Kluyveromyces lactis: one gene and its partner. The protein of the gene in region 1 interacts with the protein of each later gene in a biochemical or structural test. Links are inferred from orthologs where the notes say so. Each region holds a gene or a part of one and is shown in the gene's direction. Other genes may lie near its edges.

Region 1 (6,441 bases):
GACATTTAAGGTTTGTATGTCAAATATAGTGTATAGGGTTAATACCTGTGGGCGAGGTTTGATAGAAGAACAACTCCCACATTTATAAGTTAGTTTCCATTCTCTAGACTTTAGAGTATTTGATTATCTTGGAGCGGTTAAACCTTGAAAACATGACGAAGAAAGAGTGCAGTGATAATGAGGAAGAAGAAGAAGACATTGATATTGTAAATCACCAAGACATTTTCATATCACCTTCCAAAGTAAGATATCAGTCACCGAAGAAACTTAAAAGTTTTGATTTTCTTTCGCCTTCCAAAACGGTACGACCTAAGTCACCCAAACGATCGCTCACATTAGAGTCTGTTAGCATTGAGACTGAATATAAAGATGAAGAGAGTAGGAAGCACTCATCGACAGATACTGCAACTCCCAGGCGAAGGCAAAGGAAAACAACCAAGAGGGTGAAGTTGGAGGAAGATGATGCCATTGACTATGTGTCAGATACTAATGAATTGATACACAATGACGACGAATACGAGGATCTAAAAATTAAAATAGATTCTAATGAAAGCTCACCTAATAAGTCGCCTAGGAGAAAACTTACATTTAATGCAGAACCATCACCCCAAAGAAAGACTACCAGAAATACAGTTCAAAGGAATAAAATTATAGACGATGATCTTGCATACGACGATATCCAGCAGTATAAGCATCTGAAATTGAACTTGAACCCTAATTTCAAACCGACTAAGTTGCCAAAGAGCGATAATAATGACCAAACATCTGATGAACAATCTCAAATATATTTTTTCGATGGTTTCGAAGGTTTCATAGATCAGACCAAGATCCTAAAAACTGATAAAAGATCCAAGAACTCGATGTCCTCGGCACCAAGTATTTCCAGAGATGAATATAACATTCTTTCTCAACTTTCCAATGATATATTCCATCGTTCATCGACAAAGGCAGTACAAAAAATACATGAAACACTCTTTCAGCAGTTTACTTTCGAGTTACTGCAGGGATTTACGTTATTATTCTATGGTATCGGATCGAAGAAGAAATTCCTCGAATCATTTGCATTCAACTTTCTTTCTATGAAGATCGCCTTGTTGCAAAACCCGGATATTCAAAAAGATGATCCATGTATACCGGTTTTTGTAATGAACGGGTACACCACTCTCTCTAAGAACATCTTTTTGGATATATTCAAAATCTTAGTAGAGGGCGAGACTATTGATGATCAAGGTCAATCAAATTATTGGGATAATCGAATTGACTTGCAAATGGACAGGCTTTCAAAATATTTCAAGAAAAGACCTCCTACGGTGAAGATGATTCTTTTGATACATAACTTGGACGGTCCGTCATTCCGGAGAGAACATTTTCAAACCAGAATGAGTATTCTTGCACAAATCAAACAAATCTGTGTCGTAGCAAGTGTCGACCATATACAAGCTCCTTTCCTTTGGGATCATTTCAGAGCTCAATCATTCAACTTTGTTTACCACGATATCACAAATTTTGAGCCGTACATCGTAGAAACAGTACAAACCGATAATGCTATCGACTTTTCCAAAGATTCAGGTACCTTGTTTAATGCGAACGGTGCTAAATACGTACTAGAATCCCTGACGGACAATTCTAAAAGAATGTACAAAATTCTTCTTCAACTTCTAATGGGACAGATTAATGCCAAGAACGAGTCAAAGCCTCGTGCAAAATCTAGTTCCTTAAACAAAATCACACCTGGGATTGAGTTCTCTGAACTTTTTAAAACATGCACCGAACAGTTCGTAGTCTCGAGCGAAATGGGTCTTCGAACCATCCTATCAGAGTTCATTGATCATAAGATGGCTGTCAATACGAAAAATAAAATGGGTAAAGAGATCATAAATGTTAAATATAGCTATGGAGACATGGAAAAAATGATAACTGAGATAGATTCCATGCTGCAATAAATAATCCTTATTTAAATTCACCATACATATTTATATTTATACTCTAGCGTTCTGATCTCATTTGGCTTTACCATACCGTCCACCAGGGTTCATTTCTTTTACATTTCCTATGCTGAATCAGTTCTGCTTCCGAAAATCACTGAAAAATAAGTTTTCGATAAAGATTACTATTTTAATGAACTTAAGGTTATATGGTTAAGAAGAAAAGGGAGAATTCGATAAAGAAGAGTATCGTATACACTAACAGCAAGTGTTGGAAGCACTGTTGGTAGTGGTATTTAATTCAGCAGTCCGCTAAATATTGTGATGAGCAAATCAGACACTATATCCAGACCGAATTCGGTGGCACATACTGCGGCGACCTCTGCTATGATTCCGAATTCGCATCTGTTGAGTCCCAACACTCAGGTTGTTGTTGGCACTCATAGGTGTGAAATTTTGGAGCATTTAGCTGAGGGTGGGTTCGCAAATATATACAAGGTAAAATTCTTGGAATTGACTAACGAGATGGATGCTGGTATCGATTCCAAACTGCTTAAGGCAGGGGACATAGCCTGTTTAAAGAGAGTCATTGTGCCCGATGAAAATGGTTTAAATGAGCTAAGGAACGAAGTAGAGACCATGAAGCAATTGAGGGGTTCTCCAAATATCGTACAGTACTATGACTCTAATGCATCAAGACATCCAGATGGATCTCCAGGGTTCGAAATTTTATTGTTGATGGAGCTCTGTCCTAAGAAGTCATTGCTGGATTATATGAATAACAAATTGGCAACGAAGTTAACTGAAGCTGAAATATTGAAGATCATGTATGATGTATCGAACGCAATTGCTCAGATGCACTATTTACCTACGCCGTTGATCCATCGTGATATCAAAATAGAAAACGTGCTTGTTGATAAGGATGATAATTTCAAACTCTGCGATTTCGGCTCAACTTCAATGTGTTTTCCAATCGTATCAACGCATCAAGATATTGCTGTACTTACGAATAACATTTATGTGCATACTACACCACAGTACAGATCGCCTGAGATGATTGACTTATACCGCTGTCTCCCTATCAATGAGAAATCTGATATCTGGGCTCTTGGGATCTTCCTCTACAAACTTCTATTTTATACCACTCCATTTGAGCTAACTGGACAGTTTGCCATCTTACATTCAAAGTATGAAATTCCTCAGAATGGATACTCATCCAAATTGATAAACTTAATCATTATTATGTTGGCGGAGAATCCTTCACTAAGACCGAATATTTATCAAGTCATGCATCATGTATGTTCTATCCTGAAGTGCGATGTTCCTTTCACTGATAAATACGAATTGGGTCCTTACGATTTTGCTAAATACTCTCAATACCACTTGAAATTGCAACAAATACAATACCAAATGTTTGAGCTATATAAAAATGAGAAGGTAACTAGCGGAGATGTCGATAAGTTGAACGATTTATTCATTCAAAATTTCGAGATAGCTCCAAAACAACCAATTGATAAAGGTATTGGATCTGTCGACCAACAAGAAGCACCAGAAGATCTGGAAACTGATATTGCTAAAATGGACGAATGTTATCCAACTGTGGAAAAGTTAGAATCTGCTAACGCCAAGGAGAGAGATGATCATCATCTGCAAGTACTGTCCACCTCCCTCAAGCAATCGAGCTCCAGAAGTATATCGGATCTTTCAAACAAATCACAAGTATCATTGGATTCAAATGAAAGGCACAGTTCACATGGTATAAGGGCGCCCTCTCCACTTCCTTCGTCACAACAGCCACAGAATACTGCGAATATGTCGGCTGCTAGACAGCATAAACAACATAATCCTTTTCAATCACAATTCCAGCCTGAAGTGGATGCATCTGAGTACTTTGATGCGAACAACGAACAATACTTCAAAGGCACTCCTCCTGCACATCCAAAAAATGAAAAGAATGTATCATATTTTCAACAATCTCCGATGAAGGAAAACAACCTAAATAACTTGAGTATCCAACAAAGTGATCAAGCCCGTACTTTTGATACTACAATGCCTATTTCTGATGTTCCAAATAATGGCAACGTCGTGAATGACGAATACCTGATTGACATTTCCCCACCCAGAAATAACGTACCCTATTCTACACCAGCCGCAATTACAGCCAATATGCAAGATCAAATCATTTCATCGCAACCTTTATCTCAATCTCAATCTCAATCTAAACCTCAGCCTCTTCCTCCACCCCAACCCCAACCCCAACCCCAACCCCAAGCTCAAGCTCAACCGAATACACGAGCTTCACTGAGGCCTGAGCGCCAGCAGCAAATTCCTGCTCAACCACGATTAGACCTTACTTTTGATCAACTTGATCTTTCAAAGAATTCATTGACTAGGCAGTCAGATACAGAACTAGAAGAAAGCATTATATCAGATGAAAGCATTTCACTCGATTTGAAGCAGCCGAAATTGAAGGAGCCTGTAACCCAACCTCGTCAAACAACATCTCCAGGGTCTGAGAGTAAAGAATTTCTGAAACCCGCCAAAGTTCCTAAGCGTCGGTCATTAGACCTAAAATATCAAGAAATCAATCTTTCGAATGATGATCAACGTAAGCATCGAAAAAATAAGACATCATTTTCCCGCACCAGTGTCAGAAGATCTGTAGAAATGGAACGCATGAAACATGACTCCAACTCTACATCTAATTCTAATGCAAGAGACGAAACCAAGGAGACGAAAAGAAGATCGTTCTTTGGTGTATTCAAATGATAGGTAACCAAGGGTAAAAGAAATTAGTTCATCCGATAGCATACCAAAAAAAACAACCTGAACTGATTGAAGCACCGATGTCCTTATTCTTTTAATTCAAGTCAATTATTGTATAAACGGTATGTACACACTTTGATTCTTATTGTCATTCGGCACGTCTCTCGACCTTTTTTAAACTTTACATTTCTTAAGGTTGATGAAAAACCAATATTTACATTGAAGAATATAAGAACAGAAGCAATACAGGTAAATTTTGGTTGATCAGTAAACGATATCCTGTAAGAAGGCGATTGTAACATTGAACTAAACTACACTGGAGTCAATTTTGACTTATAGAAGGGAATACGCTGAAGATAAGAAAAAGGTAGACAATGGCTGCAGAAAAGATTTATGAACCATACAAGAAGTCTCGAGGGACTATGATTTACACACCGACTAATCAGCAGATGTCGCGTGGTGGCATAGGAGAAAAGTTGGCTGATTTCGTGAAGAATCTATACTGGGTTTATTATATCCATCTTCCCTTTTATTTAATGACTTCACTTGATGCATTTTGTTTACACACTATATTTCTGGTTGTAGTCAGCCTGAGCTTATTTGGTTTATTGAAGTACATTTTCCTATGAAACTCGAAATTCAAAGTTTCTCAATCGAAACATTAGCATACAGAGAAAGAGGGAGCAAGACCTTTTTTAGCGCATTCGTTATCAACGAAAACTCCGATCTCTAATCCAATCAACACATATCCATGACAAAAAAATTGTCATTAAATTGAAGCAAACCATTTCTTATCACACTCCCTTTTAGACAAGTCCTGAAGGTTCGACAAGAGTAAATTTGTTTAGAAAGTATGGGCTATATAATCTATAAAAACGGATAAATATTTAGAAATGTATCACGGTTATTTCGCAGGTGATCATGACTTCATATCAGGAGCCGTTTTCCCGGTTCTCTTGTGTTTGTTTTTGATGTTTTTATAATATGTCTACGAGAATCACCCAGGAAGCATGAGTTAAGCCTTGCTTTGTTCGAACTCTTTATTAACTCTTTTCACTCTATTGTATAATACGACATCATCGTGGGTAATAAAATCGTACAAGACTTTACACCAGGAGGAGTGCTTTGGCAGATGATTATAAAATTCCGGACATAAACTGTTCAATTCCCAAAGTCGGGACCAAGCAACAAATGGGAAATCATGATGTTCATTGTGTAAACCGACATTCCAAGTGAAGAAGTTTAGAAGCCCATAATAAGAATACGTCTCCAATGCGTACTTTTTCCTGAATTCGACGTCTTCTCTTGAGACGTTTGATTCATCAGTGACGTTAATTGGTTGTCTTTCGGCTGGCGTTAATTTTAGCATCAGTTTACCACCGATGATAGCTTCTTCAATGTTCAACAGATAGTGTTCTGCAATGAAATGGCCAGAGCATGGATGTAGAGAACCGGCTAAGAATGAGGACATCAGGAAATAACAGTATGAATACCAACCAAAATTCGCGATCCATATAAAATTGAACATAAATTGGTACAACACGTTCAAAAGGTGGATGTAGGTGAATTTGATCCTTGTGACAAACATAGGTCTAAATGCGTAGAAGAAGATTTGGAATGTGGCAAAGAACGATTTCCCCAAGATATTGGATAAAAGCACAGCCTCAAACCTGGTAGGGATATCCGTGTCATAAATTTCATCTCCAAGAAACTTGTGATGCAATTGATGATATGGTCCAAATGACGCACT
Region 2 (6,442 bases), on another chromosome or scaffold:
AGCGACGAGCGAACATCTGCCACCGTTTTTGACTGAGCTAAAATCAAAAGTTAAAATGACAGATGACATCGATGATGTCCCTGTGGGTATTGGCATATCTGTATCTCCTGGTGCATCGTTAAAGAGTACTGAAAAACCAGTCAGTCAATTTACAGAAAAACCCATTTTGACAGATGCTCAACAGGGAAGCGACAAGATCTCGAATGTGATCTTGAATGATAAATATTCGCCAACGACAATGCAGTCTGAAATCGGGGATTCCGAATCTATTGAAGCGAATCCAACAACAACAATCGTATCCGCTGCTTCGCCACCGCCACCACCACCACCGCCGCCACCACCTCCCTTACCGGTATCATTAGGTGGAACTCTTACTGCAGTACCATCTCCTCTCCCTACTGCATTATCCCCTGGTATTGCTCCTCCCCCTCCTCCTCCCCCTCCCCCACCTCCACCATTTCCATCGGCAAACACACCCAAAGCGACAGTCACAAGTCCCTTACTACCGCAATCACCATCTCTCTTTGAAAGGTATCCTCGTCCCAAGAAGAAGCTCAAACAATTACACTGGGAAAAAATTGACAATGCTGGGGATTCTATTTGGAAAAATGCTCAAGCAGAAAAGGTTGCTGACGATCTATTCGAAAGAGGTGTATTAAGTCAATTAGAAAAAGCGTTTGCTGCCAGAGAAACCAAATCATTAAAAGGAAAGTCTAAGGAAGCAAATGAAAAGATTACCTTTTTATCGAGAGATGTTTCCCAACAATTTGGTATTAACCTACATATGTTCTCCAACCTCGATGTTAAAGATGTTGTTGGGAAGGTAATGAAATGTGATAGAGAATTCCTATCTACTCCTAGCGTAATAGAGTTTTTGTCAAAGCCTACCATAATTGAAGTAACGAATAATTTGGCACGATATTTCAATCCTTACAGTACTGATTGGGAGGGAGTGACATCTGTTGACGATGCAAAACCCCCCGAAAAAGATCCTAATGAACTTCAACGTGCAGATCAACTATATGTTGAATTTATGATTAACTTACAACCGTACTGGGGGTCTCGTATGAGAGCAATCACTATGATAACTACTTATGAAAAAGACTATTCGGATTTGGTCACTAAACTAAGAAAAATTGATAGAGCAGTTCAGTGCATCGAACAATCTGAAAGTCTCAGACATGTTTTCGATGTTATTTTGGCAGTTGGTAATTATATGAATGATTCTTCAAAGCAAGCTCAGGGGTTCAAGCTAAGCACCCTACAAAGATTGACCTTCATTAAAGATGAAAAGAACAGTATGACTTTTTTGAACTATGTGGAAAAGATAATTCGTGAAAATTATCCCGAATACAGCCATTTCGTGGAAGAGCTTGAGCCTATTTTTAGCGTAACAAAAATATCCATCGAACAGTTGGTAACTGATTGTAAGGAATTTTCACAGTCAGTAATTAACGTTGAGCGTTCTATTGAAATTGGAAACCTAAGTGACCCTTCTAAATTCCATCCGTTAGATCGTGTTTTAAATAAGGTAGTACCGGTTTTACCTGAAGCTAGAAAGAAAGCTGATCTTCTAAGCGATGAAATCAAATTAAGTTTGCTGGAATTTGAAAATCTAATGAAGAAATTTGGCGAAGATGCCAACGACAAGTTCTCTAAAAACTCTTTCTTCCAAAAGTTTGCAGATTTCATTACCGAATTCAAGAAAGCTAAAACTCATAATGTCAAACTGGAAGAAGAAGAACGTGCTTACGAAAGGAGAAAGAAAATGATTGAAGATCAACAACGGAAACAACAGGAGGCAGATAGTAAGGCAACAGCAAAAAATTTAAGCACTTCGCAAGAACCGTCTGATGATAGGGACGATATAGAGAAGCTTTTGGATAAATTGAAAAATGCAGCTCCTTCAAAAGGAGATCCATCTAGTACTCGTAAACGTGCATTGGCTAGAAAGAAATTACTAGATGGTAAATCCGGGGCATCAATTTTTGATAACATCACTGCTGATAGTACTATCGAAGCTTTCGTGGAACAAAATAGAACGCTTACCGAATCGCCTACTGCTAAAAAATCGGCCAGCCTTCCTGAAACTGAAAGCTTGTCGTCATCAAAACAAGACCCTGCAGATAGAGCAAGGAATTTATTACTAGAATTAAGAGGCCCTGACGAAAGAAAAGACGCTTCTCCATCCCCAATCAAAGCAAAGGACAAGCTTAGGGATCTGAAAAAAAAAGATTCTTCTGTGAAAGTAGACCAACCTAATAAACTACAATTTGTTGGAAGCCTAGAAGTTGGACCTCATCCTAAACCGTTATCGCCAACCCAAGATTTGATGGACACATCGAACTCATCGGAAGATGAGTTTATTGATGCTTAAAGACTACATAATACTCATTTCAGCATTTATTTAATAACTACAATATGTGTATACTTGCATAGACATAATTCGTATACCGAAATTGACATTTTCATTTTAAAACCGGGTAATGAATTTAGTTCCAATGTTTGATGAAATCAAGAATGTAATATATATCAACCAAATTACCAGAGGACTAATGAAATACATAAATACTCGCCTGTGTAATTTACTTCAATAAATGAATCACTGATTTTGCTAACAGAAAGTACTTGCTACAAGCAAAGCTGACGGTAGCCTTATTTTTAGAATGGCGGATCAAGAAGAGTCAAAGCGCATATCTTTGCAAGTGACATCTTTATCTACGCAATTAATCGAAAGCATTGATAAACAATCCCAATTAGAAGAACAGTTACTAGTGGCTAAGAAAACCATTTCCACTCAGCAGAATATTGCGAACTCATATAATGAATTGAAGCAGGAACTACAATCTTTGAAATTACAATACGAAACCGATAAGACAAAATTCAAGAAACAGGAAGAAATTTGTGCTGATGCCGAAAAGAAAGTGGCTACATTGAACCAAGAAATTGAAGACTTAACCGCTTCTTTATTCGATGAGGCTAATAACATGGTAGCAGATGCAAGGAAAGAACAAAATGCTGTAGAAATATTAAACTCGAAGCTCAAAGAGCAGTTGAAAGAAAAGGATTTATTACTTGATACATTGTCAATGCAGTTAAAGAATCTCAAAAACGTACTCTACAAGTTCGAAAATGATTTCAATTCTTCGAAGAACGTTTCACTTTCAGATTCTGCGACGTCCTCTACCACATCAATTGATAGATCAACCACCAACCTAACCTCAGTAAATGATAATTCATTGTCGTTTCAAGGCGTGTTATTTTCCCCTCTTCTGCATTCGTTAAGGTATGACGTTCCTCTATACACAGAATATTTGAAATTTCTTGCTGTGCTACCACAATGCGAAAACCTTCAACAAACCACTTCGGAATCGAAACTATTAAGGAGATTAATAAACTATGAAATAAGTCCCGTCTTGCGACTTGATAATGCCTCCGGAGTAGGATGGCTTGTAAAAAGAAATTTAATGAATTTAATGATGGAAGGACTGGTATCAATCGAGCCGATTAGTGGAATAAATGAAACATATCGTACAGGATATAGTTCTCCAAGTATTCCCGACTCTCCAGAGGTCGAAAACAAAGATTCTCATTTGTTTAGCCGTCCGGTGAATTCTCCGCCTGTTGCTATGGTAGAACCATGTGCTTTCTGTGGTGAAAATAGAAACGACATCCTTGAACATGGAAGACTTTATATCTTCAAAACATATCAAAAGCTCGAAAATGGTAAAAATGAGTTAACAAATCAATTTCCCGTGTGCCATTACTGCTTGTTGAAATTAAGACAAGTTTGTGAAATTTTCGCATTTTTGAGATCATTGAGATCTGGTGCTTGGCATCTAGAAAAAGTAGCTTTGGCATCAATACATCAAGGCAAGGTCAATGCTTACTCCGAGGTAACTAAAGCATCAAGGCCGAAAATGAAATCCAAAAGATTAAGTATTTTCCAAGGATTAAAGCAATCGCAATCTTCAACTCCTATCATAGAAAATGGTCCACAATTTGCCGACAAAAACGGACTACCAACAACCAATATCCAGAGGTCATGGGCCCGTCTTTCACAACTACGAGCATCTTTACAATGGTCGCATATTGGCGTATGGTCTCTCGACGAATCGGTAGCTACAGATATTGCCCCATCAACAGATATTTCCAAAGCTAAAAGTTTTGAAGAAGAACAAGGTCTAGGCATTGCCTCAAACAATATCCCTGTCCCTATAACACATGAGGAGGATGAAACTTTCGATTTTGAAGCGGATACCGCAAACTCTATCAGTGTGGATGAAACAGTCAATGGTATACGTCACACAGATCAATCATCGGATGATATTGGCGATCATAATGAGAAAACTAATGAGAAGACTGCCACGGATTTACAAGGAAAGAATGAAGAGAAAAAAAGCAAAAAAATTGAACCACAGCATTCAAGACAGCCCTCACAATCATCCACAGTATTAAATGATAACAAAGAAAGTGCCGAATCAGCTCATGATACCCATGCATCATCTGAAGAGCCAAGTGATTTATTGGAAACTTATCAAGATCTGTCCGCTGATCTTGAACCCGAATCTGAAAAGCCTGAAAATTTGGATAATTCTGATGAAGAGGATAGTTTTAACGATGCAAAGGATGTCGTCAACTAGTGTCATGCACAATCTTTCCTCCTACCTTGCATACTTTGTAACAATAAATACCTGATGTAGAGAGTTTCATTTCAATGCACGTGATTTGTCAAATTTCGTCATCCTTATCATACCCAAAAGACTAAGCACCAAATTTATATATTGCAAGTATTTCTTCTTGCCTTAGATAAAACAATATGGCTGTAAGAAGGTTGTAGTAGCAAACGGAGCGCACGATAGTTGAACCGCTTATGGCCTACTTTGTGAATTATAATTAATACAGATGCAGATAGCCGCTGATAAAAAGTATGCAAAACTAGCTCTGTCTGATAAACAATCGAAGAATGAACCAAATCCGTTTGAACTGGAGTTAACGTCATTTGATGACACCGCGAAGACAGCTGACAGCGCAGTTGACCAAAACATTTTTAATGTTAATGAAGAAGACCCATTAACAGATGACATCTATTTATCTAATGAGGCAAAATCTAACAGGTACATGGCTTTCATGAACATGGCGAATAGTATTTTAGGATCAGGAGTGATAGGGCAACCTTTTGCGATGAAAAATTGCGGAATCATCGGCGGATTATTTGCGACCATATTAATGTCCATACTGGTTGATTGGACCATTCGTCTGATTGTGATCAATTTGAAATTAACCGGTAAGAGTACTTATCAAGCATCTGTAGAAACAGCAATGGGTCAATGGGGAGGACTTTTGATTTTAGTATCCAACGGCCTATTTGCATTTGGTGGTTGCGTTGGGTTTTGCATTATCATTGGAGATTCAATACCTCATGTTTTGAGCGCCTTTTTCCCTTCTCATACAGATCTTTTTCATCGGAATGTCATTATCACATTGGTGACTTTGTTCATATCGTTTCCGCTATCTCTTAACAGGGATATCTCCAAGCTTTCAAAGACATCAATGCTTGCACTTTTAGGACTTATTGCAATTGTTATTATCATAGTTGTTAAAGCTCCACTAGTAAGCGGCGAATATAAAGGAACTTTCCATTTACATCAGTTGTTTATTACACCAAGGATATTTCAAGGCATTTCTGTGATTTCATTTGCGTTAGTATGCCATCACAACACGAGTTTTATATTTTTCTCGTTGAGAAATCCCTCTTTAAAAAGATTTAATCAGTTGACACATGTCAGTTTAATTCTTTCTTGCATCGTTTGCTTAACAACTGCTTACTCTGGGTTCCTTAACTTTAAAGACAAAACAGTGGGTAATATTCTTAATAATTTCCCTTCTGATGATAATGTGATTAATTTTGCCAGACTTCTTTTGGGATTTAACATGCTTACTACGTTTCCTTTGGAAATCTTCGTTTTGAGAGATGTGATAAGGGACATAATATATTACAACAAAGACGACCCTGAACCAGTAAAGTTAACGACAAAAATGCATGCCCTCATAACGTCTGGTTTAGTTTTGATTATAATGTGTATCGCTTTATCAACTTCTAATCTTGGTGCACTTCTAGAAATCATTGGAGCAACAAGCGCTTCTCTCATGGCATATATACTTCCTCCACTCACTAATTTGGTTATAACAGGAAAAAAAAAATCCTTGAAAGAAAAGTTACCTTATTGCGGTTGTATTGTATTTGGTGTTATACTCATGTTCGTGAGCACCGCTCAAACTATATTAGAAGCGTTTGCGTAAAATCTATAGCACTATGTATGTAGCAGCTGTGTTAGCTAATATTCTGTATCTGATTCTATGCGTGGCTTTTTACGCTTTCGTTGTTCCGAAGTTACTTCTTCCTCAAGTGGATGTGATGAGTATTCTTCAGAGCTCACAA

Evidence for each region.
Region 2: the proteins of AKL1 (region 1) and SEC2 form a complex in vitro, tested with the Saccharomyces cerevisiae proteins (2 studies listed by BioGRID, with this or other methods). The link is inferred for Kluyveromyces lactis from reciprocal best matches to the Saccharomyces cerevisiae genes AKL1 and SEC2.

The regions. Positions count from the first base shown.
Region 1 is NC_006042.1:1,708,882-1,715,322, forward strand, and holds AKL1 (serine/threonine protein kinase AKL1), read left to right. Parts: upstream 1-2,249; coding exon 2,250-4,694; downstream 4,695-6,441. Other genes in the region: ORC2 (origin recognition complex subunit 2), read left to right, coding at 153-1,943; TSC3 (Tsc3p), read left to right, coding at 5,066-5,320; KLLA0_F18656g (sphingolipid delta(4)-desaturase family protein), read right to left, coding at 5,707-6,441. UniProt on the Saccharomyces cerevisiae protein: Phosphorylates SCD5.
Region 2 is NC_006039.1:192,468-198,909, reverse strand, and holds SEC2 (guanine nucleotide exchange factor SEC2), read left to right. Parts: upstream 1-2,666; coding exon 2,667-4,643; downstream 4,644-6,442. Other genes in the region: formin BNI1, read left to right, coding at 1-2,377; AVT2 (Avt2p), read left to right, coding at 4,906-6,303; TOF1 (Tof1p), read right to left, coding at 6,339-6,442. UniProt on the Saccharomyces cerevisiae protein: Guanine nucleotide exchange factor for SEC4, catalyzing the dissociation of GDP from SEC4 and also potently promoting binding of GTP. Activation of SEC4 by SEC2 is needed for the directed transport of vesicles to sites of exocytosis.